Oreochromis niloticus: one gene and its partners. The protein of the gene in region 1 interacts with the protein of each later gene in a pairwise test. Links are inferred from orthologs where the notes say so. Each region holds a gene or a part of one and is shown on either strand. Other genes may lie near its edges. The genes, in order: siah1, rad51ap1, numb and ctsk.

What was found.
Region 2: the proteins of siah1 (region 1) and rad51ap1 interact in binary tests that used the Homo sapiens proteins (3 or more experiments, as listed by UniProt). The two-hybrid records come from large-scale screens. The link is inferred for Oreochromis niloticus from reciprocal best matches to the Homo sapiens genes SIAH1 and RAD51AP1.
Region 3: the proteins of siah1 (region 1) and numb interact in a two-hybrid assay, tested with the Homo sapiens proteins (2 studies listed by BioGRID and IntAct). The link is inferred for Oreochromis niloticus from reciprocal best matches to the Homo sapiens genes SIAH1 and NUMB.
Region 4: the proteins of siah1 (region 1) and ctsk interact in a two-hybrid assay, tested with the Homo sapiens proteins (2 studies listed by BioGRID). The link is inferred for Oreochromis niloticus from reciprocal best matches to the Homo sapiens genes SIAH1 and CTSK.

Annotation. Positions count from the first base shown.
Region 1 is NC_031972.2:63,381,636-63,389,805, reverse strand, and holds the start of siah1 (E3 ubiquitin-protein ligase Siah1), read right to left. Parts: upstream 3,090-8,170; 5' UTR 2,912-3,089; intron 1-2,911. UniProt on the Homo sapiens protein: E3 ubiquitin-protein ligase that mediates ubiquitination and subsequent proteasomal degradation of target proteins.
Region 2 is NC_031981.2:14,194,438-14,202,389, forward strand, and holds the start of rad51ap1 (RAD51-associated protein 1), read right to left. Parts: upstream 3,005-7,952; 5' UTR 2,738-3,004; coding exon 2,721-2,737; intron 2,617-2,720; coding exon 2,570-2,616; intron 1,587-2,569; coding exon 1,457-1,586; intron 1-1,456. UniProt on the Homo sapiens protein: Structure-specific DNA-binding protein involved in DNA repair by promoting RAD51-mediated homologous recombination.
Region 3 is NC_031983.2:21,448,072-21,455,526, reverse strand, and holds the start of numb (protein numb homolog), read right to left. Parts: upstream 3,291-7,455; 5' UTR 3,140-3,290; intron 1-3,139. Other genes in the region: galnt16 (polypeptide N-acetylgalactosaminyltransferase 16), read right to left, coding at 5,997-6,140. UniProt on the Homo sapiens protein: Regulates clathrin-mediated receptor endocytosis. Plays a role in the process of neurogenesis.
Region 4 is NC_031976.2:31,037,923-31,045,834, reverse strand, and holds the start of ctsk (cathepsin K), read right to left. Parts: upstream 3,002-7,912; 5' UTR 2,841-3,001; intron 1,253-2,840; 5' UTR 1,252-1,252; coding exon 1,129-1,251; intron 1-1,128. UniProt on the Homo sapiens protein: Thiol protease involved in osteoclastic bone resorption and may participate partially in the disorder of bone remodeling. Displays potent endoprotease activity against fibrinogen at acid pH. May play an important role in extracellular matrix degradation.

The DNA of each region.
Region 1 (8,170 bases):
CAGGAAGCATCATAACATAATACAGCCTGACAACAGCATGAAAGCAAAATGAGGTCTGCACATACTTATGTCATTTGGGAAACACTGCAAGTAAAAGTACTGAGGTAAGGCAGTCAGCAGCAATTGACCTTTCAAGTATACTGAGTGCAGGAATGTGCTGGCAAACATACCTGGGAGGGTTACCTGAGGAAAGTCTGTGGGAAACTAGAATTCACAGTGAAGATATGTTTAACCATCAGAACAAGCAGTATGTGCCCCTACAACATTGCCCGTGAGCACACATACGTGGTTACGTTATCCTCAGTTCAGAAGTCAAATACAAAAGACTGTCCCTAAAGACAACTGGCAGAATTAAAAAGGAAATTCCTTCTTATGTCGAGCTGAAGCTGAGGGTTACACACAACGACAGTCATCATCATGTTTGATTACCAAACGTATTGTGGTGGAAACCTGGCACTGTCGTGTCTAAGATGATGAGTACAGTAAAACAAAGCACCAGCATCTGAGAATTTTCTGAGCCAACAAGCAGAACCCTCGCCGGGTAAGCTAACACAATAAGCTGCAGGTTGTTTCCTTGGTCATCAAAAAACAAAAACAAAAAAAAAAAAAAAATCCCATAGAGTTTGTAGTCTTTTTCCTTAACAAGCGCGTGTGCATGCAAGGCAGGAGGGATTGGCCACACATCCACTTCTGTCACCGTTTTAACAATGGCTGGTTGCTGCATAGTGGTCAGATGGTTCAGACATTTCCTGCCTTTAACTCCAAGTGCTATTCCACTGAGAGCAAATACTGCATTAGAGATTTGATAAAAGAAATATTTAACAATATTTTACATTGGTCAGAATAAACAAACCCATTCCAGATGTAACCTCTTAAATACAGTCTGTAAAATGAAAGATGAAAAAGCAAGCTTTTATTTTCTTGCATTTTAATGAGCTTTAGGATTTCACAAGGATGAGTCTTTCTATCAGTGACATAAATCCTTTCATCTTGGCATCTGTCAGCTTTCATCCACATATAAAAACCACCCTGGGGCTACACTACCAAGTGACTAAGCCTCTCTGAAAGCTATGGAAAACCATTGGGTCAAAACAAGTTCATCTCTACTGCTGCATTACATACAACCAACACTTAGCTGTGGCAATCAGCAGAAACCAAGACTGATCGTACATACATGTGTACATGCTGTATTTCTTTTCCCTCCCAAATGCAGTTAGACTGACTAAAGACACGTTATAGCTGGACAAACTTTATCAACCAGTTAAAACAGCTGAGTGCATACATATGGGTGTGTAAGGTCTCTGAAAGAAAAAGGTTCACTCTGATTTTGTGGTCTGCAGCAAAATAAGCAAAATTTCAGTGTGTAAAAAAGTGTTTTTAAGGTACAATGCAGAACTTGTACCTAACCTAACCTCTAAATGCAGCCCAATAACTGGTTTTCAAGGAGAGGGGAGATTAATTATAGTGAACTAAAATCAACCACATCCTAAAAGAAGATATTTAAATACAATTTGCAATTATTAAAACCTGTATTGCAATTCCAAATACTAACAGGCAATGGAACAGACTCCCACCTCCCAATCAACACCTGCATCTCTCATGTTTATAACATGCTGAAAAGACCATATTTTTCCGACTGCAGGGCAGATCATGTACTTCCAATAATTTGCATCTCAAGATAATGAGACCCTACACCTGACCAGACTGACATCTGCCGTGTAATCTTACTGTAAAATCTCAAATACTGTTTCAAGCATGACACACAAGTCCAGCACTTCGGAGGCTGGAGGTCTGTGTTTAGAGAGTATTTAATTTGTCAAAAGCTGAAAGAATTAAACAGCCACATTGTTTTTTTTGTAATACAATCCCAGAGTTTTACAACTTGTGCATCCCTTTGTCTAGGTTCATTTAATTTGTAAATTTATTTTCGTTTTATTTCGTCTTACTCTGTGAGGAGCTATGGACTCCGAGTCTGTATGCAAAGTGCTACATAAACAGTGGTATGGCTTTATTATTTTATTGACCTCGGCTTAGATCCATCCAGCCTGAGCAGAGGTATTGTAAAGTAGGGTAACAACTGTGATCAATATGGAGGTTTGCTTTTTTAATACAACTTCAGCGAAAGGTCATATTGTAATACCACTGTGCATCTGTCCCCAGCCTAATTCATAACTCATCTACAGGTGTCCACGTCAAGGACTACGTGATCCGCTCAACAACTGCTCGTTGAATGCAAACTGCAGTGAACATGTAACAACGGCGATTAGAGCCCTTTAATAATCAATAACGACCAGGAGCTGACATTAGTCTTATAATAGACAAGTCAAACACGCCGACTCCGACTGTAACCTTTACTTGGAGTAAACATTAGTCATCACTTCCTCTACAGCCGTTATGCCAGCAACAGTGCTACACAAAACAATGCCACGACGAGTTTCTGTTGACCTGGTCTAACCTACTTTGAAAGCAAAATGGCCTTGTCTTTGCAAGGCAGACAACGGCGTATCCTAGCAAACAGTTTCCTGTGTGCAAGACGAGGCACACAGGCCTCGTCTTGCCGTAAAGCAGTATCCCACAGCTTACTAGCTAGCTTAGTCGGTGAGTTTGTTAGCTTAGCTGGTGTGTGAACATGCTAAGAAGCGGTACCCTTCCATTTTTCCCCACTCACACCAGTTAGTAAACGTTAACAACAACGTTTAGTCGCTACGCATGTCAACCCGTTAACCACTGCAGGCAAGAGGCGTTTAAAAGATCAGCAAACAAGCCGGACAGTAGGCTAGCTACCCGCCAGCATTATTAGCACTGCGCTAACGAAGGAAGCTAGCGTCTGCTACAACGGGGCTGTTGTTTTCACCGACACACACGCCACTCGAAAATCTGATGTTTCACTCTCTGCGGCACACCCGCTTACCTCGAAAGAACTGTCCTTCAGTTCACCACGGAGAAACAGGTGAATGTGTGGCACCAGGACAGACACAGGATCCCTCTCTGTCGTCGTTCTCTCGTTTGCTCGATGTACACATTGGCACAGCTCCTGGAACAGAGACGAGACGGCAGGCGTTAAGTACCAGCCGCTCCAGAGCGCGCACAGTTAAGTTTGCCACGGGAGCGCGCCTTGCACGAATTGCAGGTTGCTCTAAATGGTTCAATTTTATAATAAAAACAATAATACGAAAATAAATATACGCATATATGAATGCATCCCACACAATTTACTTCATATCTTTTAAAGCTATTTCACACTGTAAAATGAAAATATTCTCACCGTTCACAACGAGTATCAACGCATGCTCACACTTGTACTCCTTAAAATCAAGGCTCGTCTAGCAGGTTCTCATCTTAGTTTCACTTCATTATACTATTCGCCTGCATCTTGTATCTGTACTGAATTTGATCTCTTGCCTCTCCGCTATAATGTAAGTGAAGGAAACTGCACATATGCTTAAACCAACAAGTCCCACAGATAAATCCTTAGAAATTGGACATTTAAATCAGCAGTTTTAATGAAAAAAAAAAATAACAACGGGTTTTAAAAAGAGACTTTGGACAGGTATAGCAGAGATTGAGGTCAGTATTGATGCTGGACACATGTAACTGGCTGGGATTAAGATTTAGAGGTCATGTTGTTTCTTTCATAGCAATCTGGACATAAGGAAAGCCATCACCATGCCCCCCCACCCCCCCCACACACACACACACACACAGCCACCTACCATCAGGAGGGATGAGGGGTAGGAGGGGGAGCTAAATAGTAGTGTGAGGTGGGGGTGGGAGGAGCTGCTGCACAGACTGGGATTACAGAGAATGATTGGTTATGTAAGTGCGTTGTCCCAGTAGGCAAGCTGCAGCAGGAGCAAACAGAAGGCTGAGAGACACTCAGACAGCAAGAAAAGTAAGAGAAAGAGCAGACTTTTGTAAATAATCCTGCTGTCCTCCTGTGAACAGTGGCTGTAAGCCTTCTACTGTAACCGGGCAGCGTGCAACACATTTTCTTTGTAAATATATGAAGTACACCATCATTGCATGCACAGCAGACACAACTTCTCACATTTACGGTATCACACATGCATTTAAATATGACACCTTACTTTGGACACATATACATCACATGCACACTTCTTCTCTAAACAAAAACCACAAAAGAGTATCTCTGCTCAGTTCTCAGTTACTGTAGAAACAGAACTCAAGAGAAAATACGGAGTACTGGAGAAATATAAAGAGGGTATGACATTTTTATAAAGAGACAATAAAAGACAGTGGGATGTCAAATGTCTGAATTTGGTCAATTATGAGGATGTCCCTTTTTTCATCATTTAGCTAGGAAAAAAACGATCTACCAATTGTGAATGCATTGGAGACACTCATTAAGCCCACTTCTTTATATTAATTTGAGGAATAGAGCAAGCAAATAAAAAGGAATGAAACTACAGAGAGAGCACCAAGGAGAATGTGGGAGAGGGGCTGGGGAGGAAGACAAGAGGAAGTGGGGCGATCCAAACCAATGAGAATGTTAAGCTGTGCTGGTATGCTAGAGGAATTTGAATTTCTTGGTCGGACATAACGACATGCACAGTTTTTTTTCTTTAGCAAAGTGAGAATGAGAAAAGATTGGAGGGAAGACTCTGAAAAGAAATGTGGAAGGAAGAGATAGTTTGAAGAGGAGAGGGGAGGCAGAAAATAGAGTTTGAGAGAAAGGGAGGAAGGAAGTTGTGAGACAAGGATAATGAATGTAATGCAAATGGGAGAAGAGTATGGAGACAGAGGATGGGAAGGGAGGGGTATGTGGGAAAGGGGGGAGTGTTAAAAGAAACGAGGGAGAGGAAATGGGTGAGTGAGAGCTGGCAGAATCATCAGCACATTCCAGACATAATGCTGTTTGGCAGTAGATTGTTATGCTGAAATCAAAGCAAGCTAGTAGCTGTGCATTGGCCAAGATCCTCTCCGAAAACTTGTTTGCTGCTGAGTGGAAGCCCAGTCAAGTGGAAAACCTTGACCGGGCTGGAGTTAAACTCCCATCCTCTAAATTCCAGCTCATGTTGACTGACTGGAATGAGCGAACTAGAAAGTGCAAATACATTGCATAGACTGGAAGCACGGATGGTGTTTGAAGCATTGTCTCTTTGATGCTGCTGCTACTCTCATGCCACCTGTGGTGCAAGAACTTTCTCTCTTATGTTTGTCTGAAGATTTAATTGTTTACAATATACCTTCCATGCCTGCTTGTCTAGTTAAACCACTGAAAGGACATCTGGGAGAAATACACGTATTTACTGGCTTGGCAGGACTTGGATAAGAAGATTAATACCACTCTTATGTCTGTATGGTAAACGTGAAGGGGTGGTGGTTAGAGGTGATGTTGCTTCACAGCAAGGGCATTATAGGATTTAATCTGCCAGCCAGGTGGGGCCTTCCTGTGTTGGAGTTTGCATGTACTCCCTGTGAAAGGACTCGGGTTTCCTCCCACAATCCATAGGCATACATGTTAGGTTGAGCGGTGATACAAAATTGGGCATAGATATGGATCATAGTGTAAATGAGTGTAAAATGTCGAGCTAACAGCAGGCAAAAGTTAGCTGAATGTCAAAGGTTAATGTAAAACAAATTTGTGTGAAATTAATTCCCTTTTATTTTTTATTTTTCTTCAGTTTTCTTTAATTGTGATTTGTGAAATGTTTCATGTAGACAGTCATGTTTACTAATATTAAACTTAAGTATAAGTTATAAAAAATCCTCATGAGCTAAAAAAGTCAGACTTCAAACTGCTCGAAACTCAATTTCAGGTAGTTTTTTTTTTTTTACTCTCAGCTCTGTATGATGTCTTTACAAGAGGATAGACTTAATTTGGCCATGTCAGGCACACACCTCTGCAGCCCCTCACCATCCCAACCCATGTGCTGGTTAAACTTTGTGGATTTGCAAAAGTTCAAAATGTATCATAAGAAATGGATGTTGCATGTGTATTGATAAGTGAACTGTGACACAGTGAAAGTGCATACAAGTTGTCTTAAGCCAAGAAGCTTTAAGAAATTCAGTGTCATATCACTGAACATCACGAATTTCATGTCAACAGTTCACCAGCCGCTGCAGTCATGAATCTGGTGGCTAGCAAATAGCTTTACAGTGGATTAATGTCATTATTAGTGTGAATGCTTGTAAAAGCATTCACAGTATTGTTGTTGTAATCTTTATTAGTGTGAATGCTTGTAAAAGCATTCACAGTATTGTTGTTGTAATCTTTATTAGTGTGAATGCTTGTAAAAGCATTCACAGTATTGTTGTTGTAATCTTTATTAGTGTGAATGCTTGTAAAAGCATTCACAGTATTGTTCTTCTAATCTTTATTCTATTTTATTATAGATTCCGTACGTTTTTTGTACTGTATCTCCTTCAAAACCGTTCAACTTAGAAAAACCATTCAAACACCGTTAGATTCCTCTTCTTTAGGACATGACTGCTTCTACTTTTCTCATTTTTAACATTTATATTTTTAAAATTATTTAACTTTTTTCAACAAAAATTTCCCATGTATTTCAATGGGGAGACCCTTCAAATTCTTCTTCAACTCACTCCTCTTTAAACTGTATCTACTTCCACATACGTTGACATAGGACCACCATTCAAACTTTAAAACGAAGCCAAGACATTCAACTATTCAACTTCTATTCATCTTTTCAATATCTATTATACTTTATCTTCAGTTCCAGTTTAAGTTTCATGATGTTTTTTCACCCGTTTCAGAGTTTATAATGGGTGTGTATGGGACGGAATGTTGGGGCTAGAGTGAGACAGCTCAACTGCCAGAGTGAGAGGAGCAAAAAAATTAATCCTAAAATCTTTTTTAAAACTGCTGCTGTGTCCGCAGCGTTTGCTCTACAGGTCTGATTTTACCCTCAAAACGTAGCCATCGCTGTCCTCTTTCATCCAATGTGTTTACTATTGTACTAGGTGTTATGGTTCTTTCATAAATGTCACCAAAGCACAGCCTCCTCCCTCCAACTCCTCCATAGACTCTAATGTTAAAATGGCTCAGAAGGTTCGTTTGAAAATCAGAAGAGCATGGTGTCTTTACACTGTCACCACGTCCATATAATAAACTCCACAGGCATGAAAACTGAGAATTAGGTAGACTGGACATTGCTGCCGCTCACGGTGAAAGAATTTCGTCAATAGGACCTGTACTTTTAATTTGGGAAGGATTTGTTTCGGCCTGACTTTTCTGTTCATTTTAAGCAGCAAAAGTGAGGTGCATGTCTGTGTGCGTGTGTACTGAGCCATTGGGTGCAGTCACTATAGCAACCAGGCTCACACCTGCCTGCCTAACGAGCTCTGTCTCTCACTGTGCCAAGATTCATCTTAAACACTTGTCTTTCAACTGCTGCTGTGTCCACAGTGTTTGCTCTACAGCCATCATTTTACCCTCAAAACGAAGCCATCGTTGTTCTCTTTCCAACAGCAAGTCTTTCAAAGCTCAGAGATGTAAACCTTTAAAACTGTGTGGATCCAAGTGGAGGGATTACACTTTAGTCATTCAGTGATTCAAAGAATATGACCTTTTAATATTCATTCAGATGTTTTCTGACTCTAAATTTTCTGTTCTCATTTCTTAGGTTTTCGAAATTTTAATTTAAAAACTTTTCAGCTATTTTCCAACTTCTTCTGTGTGAACATCAGCTTTCAAAAGTTCTGCACTTTTGTTTTCAGGTTAAAAACTCTGCATTTTCCAGCTCATTCAACATTATTATTTTTTAACTTAAAATTCAGCAATTAATTCATTTCAGTGCATACATTCAGATTCAAGCATTCACACTGCAGTTTCTTCAGAAAATGCACTTTCTAGTTATTATTATTATTATTATTATATCATATTCCGTACGTTTTTGTGCATCTATCTCCTTCAAAACCGTTCAACTTAGAAAAACCATTCAAACACCATTAGATTCCTCTTCTTTTGGACAAGTGTGCTTGTATTTTTCTCATTTATAACATTTATATTTTTAAAATTATTCAACTTTTTTCAGCAAAAATTTCCCATGTATTTCAATGGGGAGACCCTTCAAATTCTCCTTCAACTTACTCCTCTTTAAACTGTATGTACTTCCAGATACGTTGACATAGATCCACCATTCAAACTTTAAAACGAAGACAAGACATTCAACTATTCAACTTGTAT
Region 2 (7,952 bases), on another chromosome or scaffold:
ATGTAAAAGAAAAGACTACTTTTCGGTGACATTTTTTAAAATTTAACTCAGCATAATCAACATTTTGTTTTGATTTAGCGATTATCCCCACTGATTAGCCAGTCATCATTTTATCAATGACTTTGAATGGCTTTACTATTCAACCACCTTAATGAGTTAAAGCATCACAGCGAGGCTTTAACCCAAACATTTATCCGCAGTCTGCAGTATATTCTTTAAAAGTGACTGCTTACCTTCAAGCTGACTGCACACCCAGTGCAGCTCTCGGTCTACACTAACAGTGATGAAATCAAAGTTATAATTTCCACTGCTTATCTCCTAAGCTTAGCTACTCATCTCAACAAAATATGAACCCATTTTGAAAATCTATTAATGCACTGGTGCTAGACCCAAGTATTACTTTTGGACTGGTATTTCTTTACATATCATATCTACACCTACAACAAAAGACCAAAAATCTGTGAGTTTAATCCTTTTAATCATCATGTGGTGCAATATTGTCATCACTAGGGCCACAATGACTGAGATTAAAATAAGAAAATGTTCAAATTCATTAGTGAATGTGGACAGTCACCTCAAATCGCCTTGAGGTGACTGTTGTTGTGATTTGGCGCTATATAAATAAAACTGAATTGAATTGAATTTCAAACCACAAGACCAGTGTTTCCCAAAGTGTGGCCTGCAGCCCCCTGGTGGGCCTTGAAGGTAGTGCAGGTGAGCCACAAGAATCTGACCTAAATACTACGTTATTCTTAAATGTTGGGCCCATTTTGGATCTTGGATGCATCTTATAGTTCATTGGTAGTGAGCAAAAACTATACTAGTGTCAGCAGCTGTAACTTCAGAGGATCAACTAAAAGGAAACACTGCACTGCACACATTTACAGTACTGTGCGTGTGTCTATTTGTTAAGATATTTGCCTACTGACAGTAACCAATGCAAATGAACTCCTATACATGACCACTTCATGCTGCTCAAGGTGGATGACACTGTGCATCAACCAAATGCTGACGAGTTGAGAAGTGTGCCAAAACAGGGAAAGGAGCGACAAAGGAACACAAAAAAAGAAAAGCAAAGGTACAAGATGAAAAGTAAAGACAGTGGCTGCAGTGGACACTTGATTATTTTTAATGCTCGGCTTCACTTCAGCTCTTTTGTGCTTTAGAACTACATTCTTAGCGGATGGCGGATGAACCTAGGGCAGCACAAGCAAGAGTAACCCACAGAGTGGTGGCACCACTGCCCCCTGCAGGTAGATAGGTAACCTGTAGCTGCCTATGGATAGCTAACGGACTGAAACATAACTTCCCCACATTGCAGGACATACACAAGTGGTGCGCCCTCTGCTGGAAACAAACTAAACAACAGTAAAACTGGTAACATTTATTCACAACAGGTTTCATGAGCCCTCTAGCCTGATTGTCACAGCCAGTGTCAGATTAACTCGCCACCTACCTGTTCTTCTGGCTCGATTGTGAGGTGGCCTCTTGACTGGAGGACTTGCTTAATGATTTCTTCTGTTCTTCTTTCACATCCTCCCTGACCTTTTTGCTGGGTGGGGCCTTCACACAGGCAAAATCCTCATCTGTCACAAAATGAGGACAAATGACAAAGATACCACTGTTAAGACTGGAAAGTGAGTCCTTTGGATTACACATGTGCACCCTATTGTACTACAGGTTTTCCTGGAATTTAAGAGTCTTCTGCAAAGCAACAGTATCTAATAGCACGTTTTTTGTTGCAATGTCCTTTTCCTGATCACACCACTTTGTTTTGCACGAAGTGACACCACTGCAGTGAGTGCGATTTATCAAGTTAACACAAGACATCTAAAGTAAATAAAATGTAAAGATCACTGTAAAATTTCCAACAGATCCGTCATAAAGATGTTAATATTTCTGTGCTCATCAATACACCCACTGGCACAGCGTGTGGATGTCTCACCTTTTCAAAATAAAACAAAAAAAACAAAAAACAGAAAGAAAGATGGTCTTCCGTGTGGAAAAACCTCATTCTGAATACTTAAGATCAACCTGTTATTATAACATTTAAATACTTCACTTAAGGTGGGGCCCACCACCTTTTCACTCTGTTGCCCACAACATACATACATACATACATACATACATTTCTTTGTGTATTTTACCTTCCTTCCTTCCTTCCCTTATATATATATATATATATATATATATATATATATATATATATATATATATATATATATATACACACACACACACACACTCACACTCACACATTTAGCCTTTATCATAAAGCAAGTCAGTAGAACTTGCATAAAGTTTTTAATTTATTTATTTAAATTTGTATGCAGTTCTACTTTCAGTTGCTCCCTTTAGGCGTCTCCACAGCAGATCTGCCCCATCTCACACTATTCCCAGCATCCTCCTCTGTCACACCAACCCTATGCATGTCAGCCTTCACTACATCCACGCATCGCCTCTGTAAGACTATAAAATGATGACATGACATGACATGCTATGCTATGCTATTTCTTCATCACACTGTGGATCAAATGGGCCAGGATAACAGATTTTTAATTTAACTCACCATCATCGAAGTCCTTGCTCTCACAGTAATTCACAGTCTTTGTCTTCCTGTGTGTCAACAATTAAAAAAAACAAAAAAATAAATTAAAAAACATTTTTTTAGCATCACCACAGATCTAGTTTACCAGGCATAGACAAAAGCAGTAGCTCACCTAGATGGTCGGTCCATAGCTCGCTTTTTAGTCAGCTAACAATAACCGCATTGACACGGCTAATCAGCACTACTCCCTCCAGCTGAGTGAAGTCGACCAAACTTTGACTTTCGATCTCCACACGATTACAAAAAAGTTAAGGTGTCACTTATCGTGAATGAGATCCGTAAACTATATAACTTTAGTTACACAAGCTTAACGTGAGGTACGTCGGTCCCCCAAGCTCTCAAACAGCCCGCCTGAACAGACCAGAAGTGACGTCAGTTGTTTACCAATCTGACGGAAACTGCAAGCAGATTCGTTTATTTCTAAACAAAGCAAAAGAATACAGAAGAAGAGTCCGTTTGTGGCAGCCCGTTTTAATCTTTAAAATCAGAAATAATCAGAGAGCAATAGATAATTTTCTGTTTTTCTTTTTAATTCGTTTTTTAAGGTGTCGAATCTGCTTCTCTCAAATAGCTTGGCGCAGCTTTGCTAATTTCGCCCGGCTAACAATAATAAATGGCTTGGTACTGTGCAAAAATCTTGTGCCGCCCCATTTTTTATCTATAGTTTGATATGAAAATGTGAATGGATACAGCAGTTTATTAAAACGTGTGTAAATGCCGTATATAAGGCAAAAACAGAGTTTGAAAGTCAATATTTGGTATGAGCACCTTTATTCAACATAGCCTGAACTTTCTTGGACAACCTTTCTTGTTTATTCTTCGGGAATAGTTCTCCAGGCTTTGTGAAGGACATTCAGACCTCTTCTTTGGATGTTGGCTGTCTTTCGTTGGTCCCACTCTGTTTCAGTAATGTTTCAGTCCGAGCTCTGGGATATGAAAAGCCAGGACCTTTCTATCTAGGTAAGATCGGGATTATTGCCATACTGCAACATTAAGCTGTTGCCAATCAGATGCATTTCAGATGATATTGCAAAATCTGACGGTACTTTTCTGCAGTTATAAGTACATCAATTTTGACAAGATCCCCAACAGGTTGAAATGCAGCCCTAAAACCATTACAGCCTCCACTGTGTTTTATGGATGGTTGTAGATGCTCACTGTTGGACACTCTCTTAACCTCCTGACAACAGCTCCAAAAATTTGAGCCAAAAATTTCAAATTGTATTCATCACTCAGTCAGACCTGTTGTCGCTGATTTTTACACCTTTTGAGGAGTGGAATTATGGATATATTAATTTACATTTTTTACTTTAAATGACCAAAGACTTGTCTTTTTTTCATATTTTGCTCTTCTAGATAATCTTTGTTTTTTGTATGTTTTTTCTTACAGGTGTGGCAGAAGTGATCCATTGCATTTCTCTGTTTGAGCTCTACCCTTTTTGTCACGGTTCTGGGGCGGTTCGACCCAGCATTCTGAGTTTATTATGTTTTGGTTTATTCTTGAATGATCGTTTTGCTACCTTTGTGATTTGTTGGTTATTATTTGAATTCTATGTTTCTGTTTATTCATGTTTAAGGATTTGTTCTTTGGTTGTGTCTCACGTTTAGTATAGTTCAGGTTCCATGTGCTATATTCTGTCTGCCTCTCAGTGTCGAGCCTGCGTCCTTGTGTAGTGTTTTCTTGTTCCCTGTTTTATTGTGAAGGTCTGCGTCTCATGTGAGTGTGTTCAGTTTACCTCCCTTGTCTCCTCTCGTTAATTACTCCCAGCTGTGTCCCCCACCTGTGTGTAATCTCCCTGTGTTTCTCTGAGTGTATTTAAGTCGTGTCTTCGGTTGTAGTAGCCGCTGGTCCGTCTGTGTATCTACCATGTTCTATTTGTGTGTTCTCCCTGCTGTCACCATCATATACCATCGTCTATCTTCCTTCATGTTCAGGTTCGTGTTCAGTAGTTAGTTGTTCCCAGTGTAGTTTAGTTCATTCTCCGTTTGCCGTTTGTCTATCTTTATTTTGTGTTCAATAAACCACCTTCACACCTTTACAAGTGCCTGCGTTTGGATCCTCCTTTATTATTTCCACACGGCTCATCTCACTCGCCGTGACAGTTTTATCATATTTTCTCCCCCTTTCTTTTTTTCTTTGCCTTTTTTCTCCTGCCTGTCAGCTTTGGCATTGTCATATTACTGTATATATGTTCTGTGATACCAGAAATAATAATAATAAGAAACAAATAAACAGATAAAAGAAATAAACAAAAGGAGCTATAGAGAAATTATAGAATTCATCTTAGGAAAGTGAACGTGTTTAGAACAACATCGCATTCAGGTCAAGACAAGCTTTTAAAAAAAGAAAAAAAATAAGACAAGTGCAAAAACAACTAGTCACTGCTAACATGCTCAAATGTATACACAAAAATTAGTCGTGAAAGACACCAGGACCCGGTGTTACTGTTTTCTTTAAAGAAAAACAAGCCCACAGTAGTACATAGAAGCTAACAGAGTAGAATCACTATCACCACATTATTGTGTGAGGGGCTCTTTATGCTGGTTTTTGCCAATTTCTTCATTGGCTGTTGCTGTTTGTCATAATTCTTAAATGATAAAAGAAGGATTTTGTGTATTTCCTTCTTTTTACAAGGTGGATCTTTGCTCTTGCATGTACATGACAGCTGATGCTGGGGAGTAACTCAAACTACAGTGAGTAATATAACAAATTACTTTCTACACAGAGTAAATAAAGAATCTAATCATATCTTTGGGAATGATTAATAGAAAGGAACTCAGAGACTGCAGTTGTGGTTCTATTGTGTAGTTGTTTACATATTTGCCTGACAAGTGAAAGATTGCAGGAGGAGACACAAATCCTTTGGGGATTGTTTCAGAAATAATATCTGGTTTAAAAGAAAAAGCCAAAATTCAATATGCGGGAACTAATCAAAGATTGTAGTTGTCCTCTAAGCCCAAGACTAAATGACCCAGGTTTACAGTAAATATAGTGACCTGGACTTTTCCATCAGTTTGTGTGAATTTTATAATCCAGTAGACAAACAGGCAAACAAAAGCCATATTTTCACCCAGAAAAAGAAGTCTTAGGTTAACCTTTTTCTTTTTCAGTGCACTTGCAACAATTTGGAGAATTCACTGACAGAGAGCTGACAAACGTCTTTTTTTTTTTTTTTACAAATCATTTAGACAAGAAACTGCTTCAGTCTAGTCCGGGGTTAATGCAGAAGATCAGCTCTTAGTTAAGCAAAAGTTTTAGGATCTGAAACTTTAGCTTTTGAGACTTTGGGATGTAACATATGCTACCTGCCACCTCATGTCTTACTTCCCTTAATATGCCAAATTAGTCTAAAGTAGTTATTCATTCCACACCTACAGTACCAGGCTGCCAAACCTAAGTTTGCACAAGTGCAGATGTAGGTGTGTGCGGGGGACTAGAATGAAGAAACAAACATCACTTACTTAAAAATATATGTGGGTAATATCTTTAAAATGGTCTAAAAAAAGTGTTTTTAAACTGTCAACTGTGCTAAATATATTTCAGATCATAAACATCTCTCTGGAAACTTGTGGTTTCTGGACTGCATCTTAGCCATCATCTTGTATGAAAGTTAACTTTGAGGAGGCATTTCTGCTTCTTTATTTGCAGGCAGTGACAGTATCAGTCGTGTCAGACAAGTTACCAGCAGGTGGCAGCATAATGCCTTCTGGTTCACAGAGGTACAGACTCTGACTGGCTGATTGACATGAACCTGACACGTCCTCAGCTACTCAGTCGCCCACACTCAGGGCGGAAGCAATCACGGCTCCCTCTAAAGTGCAGTGAAAGTAAAATCACTCCATTTTTACTGCACTTTCAAGAGAAGAGCAGCTGCCCCGAGGGTTGTCATTTTCTAGTTTGTGAGTGGGTGGCTGTCGGCTGCGGTTTGTCACACAGTGGACCTTGAGGAACAACCAGGGATGTGATGGTCCACTCCTTTGGACCCAGACAAGGGAGGAGAACATGCATCCACGGGGCCAAAAGGCCCTGTGGTCACGCATTCCTAAACTCCTCCAGCACTGCCTACAGCCACGACTAAAATATCAGATCCAGTCATGCAAACACTGCGGTCACAACATAACGCTTCCATTCACACATATATACATGCTTATATTGTATTTATTCCAGCGCTACAAATGACAGGTTGAGCACACCCCTGCATTCTCTTAAAATGCCGAAGTTAATCCTGAAACGACAGTCGCGTTTCTCTGGCACTTCTCCACATATACATCCGTTTATAACTGTAGGAAATGTTTAGAATATATGCTGCTACAGTTAAAATTACCATGTCTCCAATCCTATATGTTCCCAAACAAAGTCACATGACCACTAAAGAGGGAAAGACTGTTACATAAACTAAAGTAAAAGTAGAAATATCCTGTTAGTGAGTTTAGTGGCAGTTACATGGGTTTATATTGTTAAGCTGTGTGATGATAATTTGTCTTTAAAAAAGGTAATACTGCACATTTCTGCATGTTTTAGTGGTGTACAGTCTGTGAATTAATCTCAAGGTTAAAATGTCAAAAATGTAAAACATAAAGATAATTATTTTGCATTTTAGACTGCAGTTATAGTCGCTCTAGTTCATAACAAACCCTGTAACAAAGCCCAAACTGAGTAACTGTTTTACAGCCGTTGGCTCTATGCATGAAAGACATGAGTAAAGAGGTCCAGAGGGACAAGGGAAATTTGGAGTAACTGTTTCTCTAATTTCCTTATGCAAATTAATCCTTGTTAGATTTAATTTGTGGATTATGTAACATATTTAACAAATACATAATGATTGTTTTTTTCTTTCTCTGGCAACACTAGGCAGCATTACTAGGCTATTTTGGAACAAGGCATCCAGTTGGGTTTACTAGCCTAGTTGGCATCTGTGAGGTCATCAGTGGTCTTAATTTCAGCTTGTTAGTTGGAAGTGGTCAGGAGGCAGTTTCCCCCCCCCTCAACCACTGATGTGAATGCCATCATTATGCGCTCTATAGCATCTCAGAGTGGTAGTTTGTGTGGGGCTCTCTGAGTCCTGCACCCATCCCCCTGTATGGTTGTTCCGCAGGCGGAGACTACAGTGTTGTTATTTACATTCCTCACAGGGCAAAGAGAAACTAGACTGCTTCTGCACTATTAAGATATTTTAGGAACATTGAAAAAATATAGTGTTGTGCACGAATATGATTGAGTACTGCTGTTAATGTAACAGAAGTACTCCATAAGAGGTTATTTGTCCCTCCAAGCTGTGTTATTATGCTGCAAGCCGGGCATATTTTTAGCTACTCGTGGGGACAAAATGCTCTGTCTGAGAGA
Region 3 (7,455 bases), on another chromosome or scaffold:
CTTTTTGTGGCATTTATTATATACGTCAGTTTCTCTATGCTTATTCAAAGCAGAAGAGTTTAATTTGGTGCATTGTATTCATCTTGTGTCACACTGTCCAATTAGAGTTTATAAATAAAAACTTACAGACTGCAAGCAGCATTCTTAGGGAGCAGCATTTTGGTACTTGTAAAACAGGAGGGCGCCAAAACACATTCCGCTTTAGCGTTTGATGTTAATGACAGCATTGTCCGCATTGTCGTGTCATAATCTCGCACATCTACATCATCAAAAGACCCACGCGTTTGGATAACATTGTCACGCCTGACGAAAAATCACTTGGAAGAGAATCGGGTTTGCAGGCATCTCGGTGAAGATGAGTTTACAAACCCTTTTTCTCGCATTCCCACGCAAGTCAGGTTTAATAAGTAAACATCTGAGCATTTCATTTAATGGCTGCATCACTTCCACCAAGAACTGGTGTTGACAAAAAGCACAGGATATGGATAACAACACTGAAACGGGCTCAGATGACACATACACATCACCCTGATCCAGACTGTTTGACGATAACATGAAAACAAAAAACATATCTGCCATATCAGTCATCTCTTAATGATCAAGGTAACGCTGGACTGAATGCTAAGCTGACAGTGACATTCACTCTAATTTCACCATGAGCAGCAAGAGGCTCAGCTATCACTCTCCTATCAGCATCCTATCAGGGTAAAGCTTTAGACTGCATCGTCATCATACGGCAACTTTATCTACCTGCAGTTGCATCACTACTCAGTATTCACATGTACAACTCACTGCCAAGTGTAGGCCCCGCCTTTGAGAAGAGAGCAAAATGCTGAGAGTTAAAGCTAGATTCTCCCACAGAGTGAATCACAGAGCTCAGGACGGAGACTTGCTCCTGCATTCTCCTCCTCTCCCAAACAGCTGACAGACTTACACAGTAGGTTCGGTGGCTGGTAGCCAATCTTGCCTCCCTCATCCTGTGAGATGAGCTAAGCCATCCCTTTCAAAATTTGGAGGAAAAAGAATCTCATCTCTCTCTGTTAGGGAAAAGCAGCAGTCCCCCAAAAAGAACACAAAATGAACACAAAATGAGCCTTTGGAGACTGCTACAAACATAACCACAAAAGGGTCTGTATAACCTCACCTTACAGAAGTCTGCATGTGTATTTTAAGGCTGAGTAATTTAGAGACCACTAGCAAAAAATATTGACAAAAATCACAGTCCTGGTGATTTTCCTTAGAGTGAAGGCTAAATTGTCTTTGATGGGCGCCAAAATGTTGTAAATGCAGAACAAACCCTGGATAAGAGCTGACATCAAAACAAACTGCATCTCTCTGGTCATTACTGTGCTACCACTAGGGATGAATAACAATAATGACTACTTCTCTTTCCTGTATTGCTTTTATAGTTCTTTGAGGATTTTTTACATATGGTAAATAGATTTAAGACTACCCTGTTTCTCTAGGAATTAATCCATTGATACATCCAGTTCAAAATCACAGCTAAAAATATACATTTGGCAGATCTTTTTTGATTGTTTTGCTTTTATTTTCTGCCCTAACATTCTTTTTCTAACCCTTATCTAACAGAAAGTCTACTGCTTCTTTCAGGTCTTTAACACACCATCATTAAACATTTAGCCTGTGCAAAACTGACATGACACAACAGATAACTATCCCCTGCCATCAGTAAATGTCATCTTCCCTGCAGATAGCCTGACAGCAGTCAACAGCTGATGTGCGAGCACTCCTAATGTCCTCCTCACTCACTTTAGTAGGTGCACCTGATCAACTACTCGTTAATGCAAACAAATGATCAGCCGATCACATGGCAGCAACTGGGAGAGCTGGTTGACAAGACCAAGTTCAAACTGAGCATCACAATGGGGAAGAAAGGTGAGGAGCACAACATTCAACATGTCCAACCTAACCAACCTATGAATCTGTGCCACAAAGAATTTCTGTTCTCAATGAAAAGGGGAGTCAAACCTGGTACTAGCAATACCTAATAAAAAGTACATAAACTGTATAGCACTTGACTACATCCCCCACTGCTCTGAGCACTCTGAAACCGAGTGCTAGTATTGTAAGCAGAATAAAATAAGCAATGCAGGACATATTTTGAACTCCTTCTTTTTTACTATAATCTGATATTTACAGTCAGAATAAGTGGATTTCAGCACCTCTCCTCGATCACCCAGAGGGTTGCGTCTGTGTTTTCCAAACAAAAACAAATAACTCATCCTGTGTATTATTTCTGGTCACAAATTACATCGCTGCTCCAATAATAAAATGCCTAATGACAGAATCCAAATAGAATTAGCGTCCAATAAACAGGATGTTTCAACCGTATGGTTGTGCTGCTGGGGCTATCACACAATCTATCATGTGGCTATCTTAGTACAGTCTCCACGTGGAAGGTAATCTGACCACTGATGGTTATCTGATCATGAATGGCGGACTTCTTGATCTCTCTTGCAAGAAAAGATCCACCTGCCATATAAGACGATCTTAGACACATTATCACACTTCAGAACATTCCGAGTGCTAAGACTCTGAGTCACAGTCTGTATCGTCATGGTGATCAACCTGTCTGGATGGATGAGTGTTAAGAAGACCCACCTTTATTGTGAATTAACACTTTTTGAGGGGGGCGGGGGGGAGAAACTTGCAAGTCACTAAACTGCCAAGCTACCGATGAATATCATTTGTAAGAATGGTATTACACAAGCGAACCGTGTGATAGGGTGTAAGTGAATGTCGTGACAAACCGTGTGCTAGGAGCAAGCTATCCGATGAGCTTAGGTCATTTTGCTGAATAACGTCCATCCCCCTAAAGTTATCCAGGTAACTTGAGAATCGTTAGCTACTTAACTAACGTTAGCCATACCTCTTAAACACCTTAGCTTATTCGGCAAGACAGAAGCAGATATTTTCCAACAGCAGATAAAGATGTTAGACAGCTTAACACCATCTATTTTGTTAGGTTAGCAAGAGAGCTAAATGCCGTGTTAATGGGAGCTGCCATAGCTCCGTGTGCCGCATCAGAGAGGCACAAGCTAGTGCTGCTTAGCTCGGTGAGCTAACAAGCTTCACCGGGCATGCTTACCAAAGTGCACACAGCCCACTTTCAGCCTACCTGCGATCACCGCTGCGACCCTCAAGATGCCCCGTGTATGCCGTCACCAGTGTATCACGAGCCGTGCCGTGCCAAAATAATTCAAATTCCACAGAAAGTGTCGGGAGAGACGCTCGCAGTCCAATCGCTTCAGCCACCGCCGCTGAATGGCTGCTACTCACAGCCTCAATCAAACTTCCTCCTTAGCAACGGACCGCCTCCGCGTGACCCCATTGGCCGGCGCGTGTACATCGAAGGTGATCGATGTTCGATAGTGCAACCTGGATCGAAGCTGAGTTTCACTCTTTACGCTGTTCGTCTTGTAGTCATTAAGAGAAGCAGGCGTGAAAGCACATTGTAAGACACCGCTTCAGTCTATCGGGTTTAGCTCCAATTAAGATGCACCTGTAAATATATAACTACTATAATCTGACCTGAAGAGTGTGTGATGGATTATTGTTACAATTAATAAGTTGCAAGCAACACTTTACTTTTCGTATTTTGTGACAGTGGGGCTGATTTCTATATAAGCAGGTATCAAATTGTATGCCTATGTTCTCATTAGGTTTTCTTGTATTTCATATATTAGTGCTATTTTCCTCTCAAATGTAGCAGGCTATGTAAGGCACCACTGCAAACGTTCAGTTGCGCCACTTTTAACGAGCACCTTCATTACAAATTCATTGTCTGGGTGATATGCAAATATAACCCTGTCAGTGAGGTCACTCCTGAAACGACAAAAAAATTAGGGCATCAGTGCAGTGCCATCCCGAGTTTCACCGCAATCATCCTTCCTGTGTAGGCCATCACGTTCTCACCACATAACAAAAACGAAGCACGTTTAAACGAGTGAAACGTGTTTCTTTTCATATACATCCAGTTAAAGGCTTCCTCCACTCCCTCTGTCTTCACTGACCCCTTGAAAAGGCCAGAAGTTTATCAGCATTAAGTTGCATTCCTCGCATACCTTTAAAGCCTTGTAAGCTGCAGTGTAACTTGTATTGTGTCCTCACAGGTTATGAAACCAACAAGGAGGCAAACAAAAAAAAAAAAACTTTGGTTCACAAAGTTGTCAAGCCTGTTATGCAGCCTTGTACAGTAACTTTATTAATCTTCACAGTGCCCCAGCAGTGACCTCCCAGTCTCCAACACGTTGTTACTGCCTCGATTTTTTCCCCTTAATTATCTTAACTCTTCGAGAGTCTTGTTTTATTTTATTTTTACATTCATTTTAATTTTGTATATCTATTATTTTTACCATGAGGTTCCATCTATGAAGAGACCAACGTTATAATGAAAAAAAGTTAGCATATTATGCCCCCTGGTGGTCACTTTGTGTGTGTGAGTAATGAGTGGTGGACGGTTTCAGTCATGTAGCCAGGAGTCTACACGTTTTCCCACTTACTGCGTTGCCTAATTAAAAAGATTATTTATGCACACATTGAAGCTAATCATGGCCCTTATTTTTAAAGGGAATACACTGCTAATTTCACACTGGCCCCAAGTAACAGAATAATCTATAGAAACTATCAGCATCTGAAGAACTCCATTTGATTTTTTTGCTTTATATTAAAGATATATATACTTTAAATAAATGTCTCAAATATAATGGACTTGAAAGTGGATCTGCAATGCTTTCTTTGTATATTTAAATGGATAATTTCAAATAATCTGGTTAGAGTATGTGAAAGTAATGCCTGTGAGCCAAAAGCTCACTCCGTTTCAGACTCACTTTAGTGTTTGTGATACCAAGGACAGGGGATAGTCTAAAAATGGTTATGTTAGGCACTGAGTCCAAACAACCACTGTTTAAACTTTATGTTTGAGTGGGGCAACCAATGATGAGAAAGAAGGCTTAAAGCGAGAGAAGCTAAACCAGTTGTTTGGCTACACAAAAGAATAAATGATTACTTTTAACTGTGAATCGTGTAAATCTACTCTAGTAGACACCAAGGCTTCAAATGAAGTTTGAAATGGCTACAATAAGCCCCATGTAATTATTCGGATATCCATTGTGAATTAGGATGCAAACATGTACAATGCAAAAAAGGATTTTTGCTGTTTTATAAAATGATGAAAACAGCGGTGATGGTGCAGTAATCCAGTTTATTATTCAAATGACTACAACAGCAATGTCTCCATTACCACATTTTATTTTTTCAAACAACATATAGAGAACTTTACACAAAACAAGCCATTACCTGCCTTAAATATTTACATAAAACCTTGTAGAGACAGAGGAAAAAAAACATTCTTTGGGTCTGACCATGCAAAAACAATAAATAATCTTCCTGACAGTGCTTCGCATGGTGGTTTCAAGACTGCCATTCAGCAATAACAATTAAAAAAATTTGTTTTCAGATTTTAGTTGACTGCACATAAAACTGCCCTGGTCCACACAGTCATCAGACATGCTTCAACAGCCCAAAAACCTCAAGACTCAGAGTGGGTCAAGTGCAAGTCAGCATATTAGCAACAGTACATTATGCACTCTTTCTTTACGGGTAATCTTCACTATTCCAGATTTAAGCAACATGTAGACCAGAATAGATACAGAAATGAAAAAGTGGGATGTGTGACAGTTTTCTGTGAAAAGCGTAGATTACTTAGAAGAACTAAAGCATCCTGGAAGGATGAAGCACTGTACACAGAAGACCTTAGATGTTTTGTTCAACAGGGTCTTAAAATGTTTTCAGCGCACTCTTGTCCCCAAGACACAATGAGCAGGAGCTAGAAGTTGACTTCAAGACAGTAGAGTTCCCACTACTTTTATCCTTCAGCAAGGCGACAAACAGTGTGCAGACGTGACACCCCAATTCCTTCTGCAGGCTGGGTCCAGAATCTGCTCCTCCCTCTCCCTCTTCCCATTCTCTGTGGCTCAGGTAATGACTTGTGGCTCCCAGGACTGGCTGGCCATCTGGGGGCGACACTGTAAAATGACTGGAGGTCCCATCGGGGTTTGACTGTCCAGGCAGAGGCCACTGACCATGTGCTGCAGAGCTGTGCCCTTTGGCTTCCACTTCTGCAAAGACCAAAAAAATAATTTCATGCTGGTTTGTTAACAGATGTTCGTGCACATTGACTCATTCCTGTTAATCCATGGCTCATAAATGATGTGCATCAGCACAGGAGGTTCATGTTAGTAGTGAGAAATGAACTGAGTCAGGGGTGGATTGCAGTAATCACATGAATGACTGACTTTCTGCACTCTCGGTGGAAAAATCATTGTACAGCCAGCTGCAGACCACGGCAGCCTGCCATCCCACGAGAGAAGAAACAATTTGTTTCTGCTGATAAGATGTCCTGTGTAGGGGCCATTTTCAGTCATGTGCATATACTGTGTAAAGTTATTTATTTTTATACCTCCGGAGACTTAAAGGGGCTTCAGATCTGGATATAGATTTGTGAAAAAGTGAACTTTTCTTTTTGCTTTCCTTCCCCCACCTTCACCATTCTTTGCCCTCAGATCACAAGGTGTCCTGAATCAATCTACATAATGAATCTAATCTTTAATCATAGATAACACAGACTCAATTTGTTACTGCATTTCTCAGAGCTAAAGATTAATTCAGAACATCTATTCTCATAAATAACTTAAAGTCCAGTAAAGAATCTGGCATTTCAACTACTTAATACTTTTCCTTGAATACATGTCATAGAGAATGACTACATTTACTCAGTTGCTTGTGGAGGAGGATTTTAAAAACATAATATGCAATATTATACCAATAAACTACCCAGTAAATTTGGATAAATTTACAGTTTATTCTTTTTGTACACGGTTACCTGATCTTTTTTTTAAAATTATAAGTATAATGCACAGTCATGTGAACCAAGTCTGAGCAGTTCAGCAATATTCCTTTTTCACTAAAACAGTTGCAAAGATGGTCATTCACTTTGTTCATTTCTTTTTTACAGATGCACTATTCTTGGAGTCAGTTTGCACTGTGACGTTTCAAAATAATCCTCATTTTTCTAATACTGGGCTTACAGCCCCTCACTTCATCCACTGTCTTAAACAAGCCATTTTAGCTACAAGGGAGGGGCTACTGGCTTACAAGCAGTGAGGATATACATCAACACTGACATAATACAAAGCCAGGTGTTGACTGATATTCCATAAATCGAATATTGTTTTCTACCATCACAGTGTGTAAAGCAAATCTGACAAGAAAGCTGAAAGGAAAGCCTGCCAGAAACACCTGTCCCTCGGGCAGGATGTCTGCAAATCACCAGGTATAACTGGTTCCTTTATTGGGTCACTGAGTAAGTACTCAGAGCTGAACTGAATGCCAAGTACAGATATCAAGAGCCACATGGAGGCTTATTAAAGTTTA
Region 4 (7,912 bases), on another chromosome or scaffold:
AAGAGGAGTGGAGGACTTTCCTCTGTTAGAAATTTCTGGCTCTGGTGATATGACGCATAAAAAGCTAACGATAAAACTAATTTAGAAAATAGGCTAGGATTTTTTTGATTCATAAGATCATTAAATAATAATTTAAATACCCATAGCTGTTGAATTAGTCCTTTAAACTGAAAAGTGTTGAATTATACTAAACAAAAAAACTAAAATTTAAAGTCATTTTAAAGGAGGATCTAAACATCTACTGGTTATGGATGAGAAAGTTGGACTGACAGTAAATTGCATGTCCTGCTTCAGTTTAGCTTCTCTGTCTGTTTAATTTTCAGCCAAAACAAAGAAGAGGAGCAACCAATGCTGCCAGGTAAGGAGGTAAAATCAGCAACAGTTTATACATAACTGATCTGATCATATAAAACAAAGTGTGACTGAGGAAGAATATTTGACATGCTTCCCTGTTAATGTTGCTGATGTTTCCTTCTGTGACTCTGTGGCTTTACCTGATCTGCTGTTAGCATTTCTGCTAAAATAACTGAAATTGGTGGAGCTTCCTTAAAAAGGGCAGCTTAGCCTGCAGACTTACAGTAGCCTGTCTTGGGCTAAGATGTGGAACATGCTGTGTATAAATAAAATATGAGTCTTTGCCACATGTGTACGCAAATGTATTAAACTATGTAAATTATAAATAACTACATGTTGCTGGGACTGGATGAGGTTTTTCTTCTCATCTTTTTAAGACAAACATAGCGTTGTGCAGTCATGGAGCAAGTTAAGGAAAACCAATGATGTTTTGAAACAGCGATATGGACATTTGATGGGAAAGTGCATAAAATGGCTAATGTTCAATAGCAAATGTGCATATTTTTAATTTCATTATTTCATTTTAGAATTAATGTATTCACCAAAGGCTTCACCAATACTGCTCTCAGTTTTGTTTTCAGGTTTAGTGTTTTGTTTGTAGAAGTCCTCTTTCAGGAAAATCAGATTTAAAAATCAAACATCTGAGAAGCATCTGCTTTTTAAAAACAAAATTTTTATATTTCCTACCTTATGTTAAAGTTTTCTTTTGTGCTATTTCTATCTCTTAATTTTATCATTGATTTTAACTCTAAAACAATAGTAACACACACTCACCAAGCCATTGTATTCTCTCCTGTGTGTGCTCTTCCACTCTTCCCACTGGGCATCCAAAGAGGATTCATCAAAACGGCCCAGAGCCGAGGTAGCCAGCAACAGCACACACACAAGTGGCAACATCCTAAAAGAACAAAAAACACAAAAACCTTCACGTTTTTTTTTTATACCAAACCCAGAAATTTTTTTATTAACAAAGTTTTATTGTTTACATGTTTACAACATTATAATTAGGGTATGTGTATGCATATTAAATATCACAATGTTATCATAATCTCTTAAGGCCCATTTATGGGAGTCCAAGAGAGGAACTACAGTCAGAATTCCTGTTCAGTAACAGTTTACCATGTGAACTTCCTGGAGAGGCTCAGGTTTGAATCAGGTCACTTCTTCATTTATAACCTTCTTGTCTGCACTCGACTGTCATAAGGCTAAAAGCTAATATATATATATATATATCTACATCTATATGCATATATATATGCTTTCCTATAATCCAGTGAAAGCATTGTGCTTCTGCAGGGGTTTACTATCATGTGGTTGGTTTCATTATCTCAATCATGCCACAACGACAACAAGTTGCACTTCTTGGGAAACAAACCCCTATGCCATGTTTTGGTTTGAGACAGGAAACTCTCAGGATAATTTTTATCTGATTTTCAACAATTTTCACTTTCGTTTTCAGGGTCAGACCGGACAATGCTGGATATAGTTTGACAGCAAACATGTGAATAACAGCTACAGGATGAAGTCTCAAACACAACTGAACTCCACTGAAAAAATGTTTTCATTCTTGCTCTCATCAGTGATTCAAACATTTTAACTGTGGATTTTTTAAGTCCAGGCAGTGTGAAATTTTTTCTCTGCCTTTGTTTCTTGGGCTTTCTGAGTCCCCCTTGTATTTTAATACATTGTGCTTCTAATCTGCATTTGTGGGCTTTGTTTCCAGTAAAGGTCGCTGACCTTGGAGTTTCTCTTAACTAAGAGCAGAAAACAATGTTTCCTTTTGCTTTGTTTTCTTTTTCTCTTTGATTCTTGCTTCCTACACTCATGGATTATACACAGCATTGTTTCACCTTTGGGTGAAAATCCATGTTTTAAATAGTGCAATCCCATGATACATGCCAGTAATTCAGCATATGTGCACAATGCTGTGTATGAGTCACAAGACTTCTCCCTGTGGTAGCTTATGTTTTGAAAATAAATTTATATTTTGCATAAAACATTAGCATTCATGACTTTTTTCACATTCCCGGATGTGTTTTTTTTTTTTTTTTTTTTTTTTTTTTTTGCATTGGTATGTCAAACTTTCCAGAACTCAAACTGGCTGCCAGTAAATGTTGCATCTCCCTGCCTCCCTCTTCCAAGAATGAATCTATTAATGTGCATTTGGGTCAAAATTGTTCTGTAATCCTAATCTTTTTTAAGACTAATTACTTTCTTAGCTGCAGAAAAGTTATGCATATATTTGAACCTACATTTATGGAAAAATCTCTTTCAAAGTCTTGAAAATCAGTTCATGTAATTAAGTAAGAGCCATGTCTAAGTTCAGTTCAGCTGAGATGTTTTTACTTAAATAGTAAAATATCAGAAAGCTGCAGTTCTTTCAAACTGATTTAAAGTTTAAAACAATAAGGTTACAACACGCACAAAACAGCAAAAAAGACTCTGTGTGTTAAGAGTGTTGGGAGATCAGCAGTAAACAAACTTACCTGAAGTCCAAAAGTCAAAAAGCTCGGAGAATTCTTCTGAGTTTGACTTGGTCTTCCTCTGCTGCTGAAGTAGGTCAGTGGGCGAGTTTATATCGGCTGAATTTTGAGGAAGTACAATGGGAGCTCCAGGTCTGGGGAGGAGTTTTCTTCTAACATGGAGGGAAATTACATCTGGTTTCACTGAATAAACCGGATGATGTCAGGTGTCAGGTTACAGAGGCATGTCTGAAAACTCCACAGAGGATGTTGCACTGCTGCAGTCTGGGTTACTGCTTGAAGAACAACAGAGGTGCTTTGATTCTTGAACAAAGTACAAAGCATGGCCATGTATATAAATCAATGTTCTGCTATAAAAGGTAATCAGTGTTAGACTTATAAATAAAGGCCAAGTTCCAGGTCCTTTTTTTTTCAAAGTGACCTTTTAGTCTGCTTTCACGTTTACTCTAACTCATGAAGAAGAAGAAGAATGCTAGGTTAACATAGATAAATGGATGGGCCTCTGAGTGATTAATTATTGAGCAAAGACATTTTTATTCCAAAAGGAAGGAAAGAAGGAAGGATGCAGCAAAAAAGGCACATGGAAAAAAACAGTATGGTACAAGTGTGTACAATGTAATGGTTGTCAGTCAATAAACTGGGTCACACAGTTTGCACTAAAAATAATTTGACGGTGGGCACCAGCAGCGGCTGTTACAAGAAAACATGTCATCTCCTGCACTGCACATTTAGTACTGCTATTATTTATTTAGCATTTAGCATGATCATTATGAATATCACTGGAACCAAACCAACACGATAAGTCAAAATATTTGCAAAGTTTTTTTTTCAGGCCTGTTGCTGAAGATTTCCAGAGACCCTTCCAGTGCAATTTCTTTTGTTTCTTGTTATGCTGAAATTTTTTCATCAGAACATTGTCTCAGAACCTTCTGACACTTGGTGTGGAAAGGCTATAAAGGCTACTATATTCCACTGATTTTTTTGAAACAGTTATGCCTTTATTGAAGTAACGTCTTTAAAACAAACACTTTTATGTTCATTGTGTGTAACTGGAAAACTATTTCTCTACTTGAAGAATAAAAACCAAACGTGCTTATTTTAGATTTTAGATTAATTATACAAGAACACAGCATGTGAAACCTGATCATGAGTGGCAGCTTGCTAAAAAAAATTCCCACAGCAGAATCCAAATAGGTCTTTGCCATATTTGTATTTGCTCCAATTTCTGTCTTTTTGGTGGTACTTCCTCTTGCTGTTAGTCATGTGTGTATATACATGAATGTGTCTTATGACTCCTATACTCATACTGTTGTCTAGCACATATCTAGACAGTGAATTAAATATAGGAGCATCCCGTGCAGCTGAGATGTCCAGTGATACATGTCCACGTTGCTGCAAGTTAATCAGACGTATAATCATGTCTGCATGAACAATAAAACATTTTTCAATGGAGAAGCCTTGCTAACACAACTGCTAGCACTAATGTTATCACAACTGCTATTACAAGTGCAGTCTCTTCATACAGAATTATTCATAATACATCAATGATTATTCATGCATATCATTACATATCAGTCTATCATGTTTTTGTGATCTGGACAAATATACATTTATGCCACCTTGAATGTGAAACACACCAAGCGTTTTGCAGGCAGTGAAACTATAAGATGCTAACATGTCATATGATTGGGCCGACTGACATTGTGGTGCAGAGCTATGAACAATAAATGACTGGACTACCTTGTTTTGTTTTTATGTAAATTTAAATCTTTATTGGTTCCTTAATTCCCTCGTCAGTATTGGCTATTTAATGCAAGTCCTTGCTCTGTACAAAACAATGATCCAGCACAACGGGAAGCTTCAGCAATTTTAAGTAAATCAGACAAGTATGTATTATGCTCTCCTGCAGCACCGCAAGGAAACAAATAAAGGAAATTAAGATACCACTTTGATTTGTTTAAATCAGACTCCTGTTGTCTCATGTTAGCTTGAGCTTAATGTGATGCTGAAAAGAGACAATTTGTATGTAGAACCACGAGTGTGGATTTTGCTCCCCATAATTTATCTTGCCATTGCATTACAGAGGGATATCTTCAGGTGCTAAAAACACTATGAATGGTCATGAATCCATTTATACGATGGACAATGACAATAATTTTTCAATCAATATCTAACTAAAACACCTTTTTACACTAAATATTATTAAAATCTAATCTAAACTCATTGAACACTGGAAGTAAATGAAGTTTCCTCTTATTCTTTTTGCCACTCTAAGATGAAAACATCAAACTTGATGGCGAGCTAGACCTGAAGAACTAATATTATTGATAGCAGTAGATGAAGCCACAATTAAGCCACTACTAATACACAAAAATATGCTAAATGGCAAAACAAGGTCAAACAATTAAAAAAATAGACACATTATTGCCTTGTTATTACTCTTGTTATTACTCTTGTTAAAGTTACATGTCATTGTTAGATATCTAGCTAAAAGCTGCTGACAGTGGATTGCAAGTCCACAGCAGTGACACCCCTTAGTAATCCATTCTTATTTTAATATGCTTATTTATTTACTCATATTTTTTTGCATTATTTGGCCTGATTTTGATATACTATATATTATATATTTTAATCTTTCTTGATAGATTTGAAATATGACTTTTGGTTTAAATAAATATATTTTCCAAGATTTTTGTAGATGTTTGCGATGTTTAGCATCCTTTCCTTTTCTTTTTTTTTCTCCTTTCTAACATAAGTAGGTTCAGAGTTGTCCTCTGTTTTGTTTGAATTAATTATCAAGTGATATTATTATAACCAAAAGCAAAAGCAAGTTTTGAATTCATGACACGAGCATGTATTAGACAAAAAGCAAATGATCCAGAATCCTGCCTTGTGGGACTCGTAAGTTTTAAAAAAAGATTTTACATGACTGATTTTAACCTACTGGGACATTTTAGTTACAGGGAAGCCATGAATATCAAAAGCGAAAATTTAAATAAGCAGAGTTTGTTCAGCAGAATCCGACGATTTACAATTTCAAAGGCTTCATGAAAAAATCAATATGCAATCGGAGACGGTATCATACAGTGCACAAATGCAGCTATCGCTCTCTCCTTTGCTGCTTCAGTTCTCCTCAAGGTCAAGAACAATCTTGGGTGCTGTGCTAAGATTCCTGTTGTGTTAAGATCTCTAGTGTGTTAAGTGCAGTGCAGGCAAGCAGCTCTAGGCAATGGCTTTCATCACTGACTGCTCACTATCTAACTGATCGATATTTTTGTATCGAAACATCTGCTCACTGGATTTCACCAGGCTGGAGAGTGCATCTTAAGCCTTTGTGAGACTCTTCATTCAAAGGTTCCTCTTTGGCTCTTTAGATAATGAGACTCATGAACGGGGCGGTATTTTGATTGATCCACCATGCAGCACTCAACCCCCATCTTAGCATCAAGGAGCATACCATCATGCAGCAGGTCATGACCTGTGTATAAATGTATGTGTTTGAGTAGATTGATTTATACAGGTATTCCTTACTAAAATGGTTACCTAGCAGTCAGTATAGCTCTGTTTTTTCCTCTTGAGTGCTAAAACAATCTATTAATATCTCCACATGGGGCTGATGCTGAGAATGCTTTTCTGCATTTATGACTTTTTCTCATGTGACCACTTGGCAGCCATTTTTTGTTCTAGTCTGACTCTTTGTTTTGAACAGTGAAAAGTACTCTGAGGCCCAGCTCAGCAGTAAATTCCTCTTGTCTTCTTTTTTTTCTTCTCCTATTAGGTCACATCTGTTTCCCATCTCAGCACATACTCACAACCCACCGCAAAACTGGAAACAGCTTAGCTCCCAGAATCCTCTGCAACTCATATGATCCTGACTCACACCATCACGGGATAGGGTTGGGTTTTGCCATTACAAAAACTGAACTGGCTCTGTAATAGCAAGAAATAGCCTTACATCACAGTGTTTAGGTACTGCAGAGTAAGCTGAGTGACATCTCATTTTCTATATGCATGTATATGGCTCTCAGAGGAGAGATTATATGCCCCTAATGCTGTTACTTGTTGAAATCCATTGCATTTGAGCACCATAGAAAATCAGGCTTCATTCAGATTCTTTTCCCCTGGCAATCTAGTGAGAAAGCCCAAGAGGCTTTAAATTCTCATCTGAACTGTGTGCACTTTTCATTGACCAGTTCAGAGATTAGTGCCGCAGACACCAAAGAGGTTTTAAAGGCTTGTTTTGATTCCAACAGATTAGACGGTGTTGTCTTTTTTCATTCCAAGCTCAAATTGTTTATAGTGGAAAAAAAAACCATTACGTGTATACTGAGTTGTTGTTGTCTGAGCCATGCATGTCCTGATTTCTCTATGAAAATACGAGTGTCTGTGTTTTACATTAAAAATGAAGAGGAGATATTTGTCATGCCCTAAAAGCTGCCATTCAGTTTTGCTGTATAATTCTGTCTAGAAATAAGAGTAGTGGCCTGAAACCAGGTGCATCTTTGTGTTACTGCTACTATTCTTCTAGAATTGTCAAATCTGTCTAAGGTATTTCTGAAAATTTGTTTCTGATGGATTTTCAGCACCTAGAGTGAAGCCAAGACTTCAGGAAGTTACTGCTCCTGGTCACAAAATAAAATCTTTTCATACTTACATTTTTAGAATTCCTTAATTAGTAAATTCGTAAATATTAAAGCTGTTGGTCTGCATGTTTTGCTACTTGTGACTGTATGAAAGCTCCCTGCTATAATAGTCCCCATTTTTGTTTCTGAATTTGATCCATTTTTTTAATGTAAATTAGGCTTTTTATGTCACCAAGAACAGAGATGAGTGTGACTCTTCTGATCAGAAGAGTCACATACTGGCGACTATAATAATAGGAATAATTTTCCAAGAGTGTTAAATCAAATTTCCTGTATTACATGCTGCAAATGAAAGAAGCCAATATGTTTCAGCACAATCTGTATAGCTCATGCAACACACTGAAAGATAATAGCAAAGTAATAGTGGGAACAAATTAGTGCCACCTGGTGGCTTCTTGCGCCTCCTGTCAGAATTTACAGTAAATTTAACAT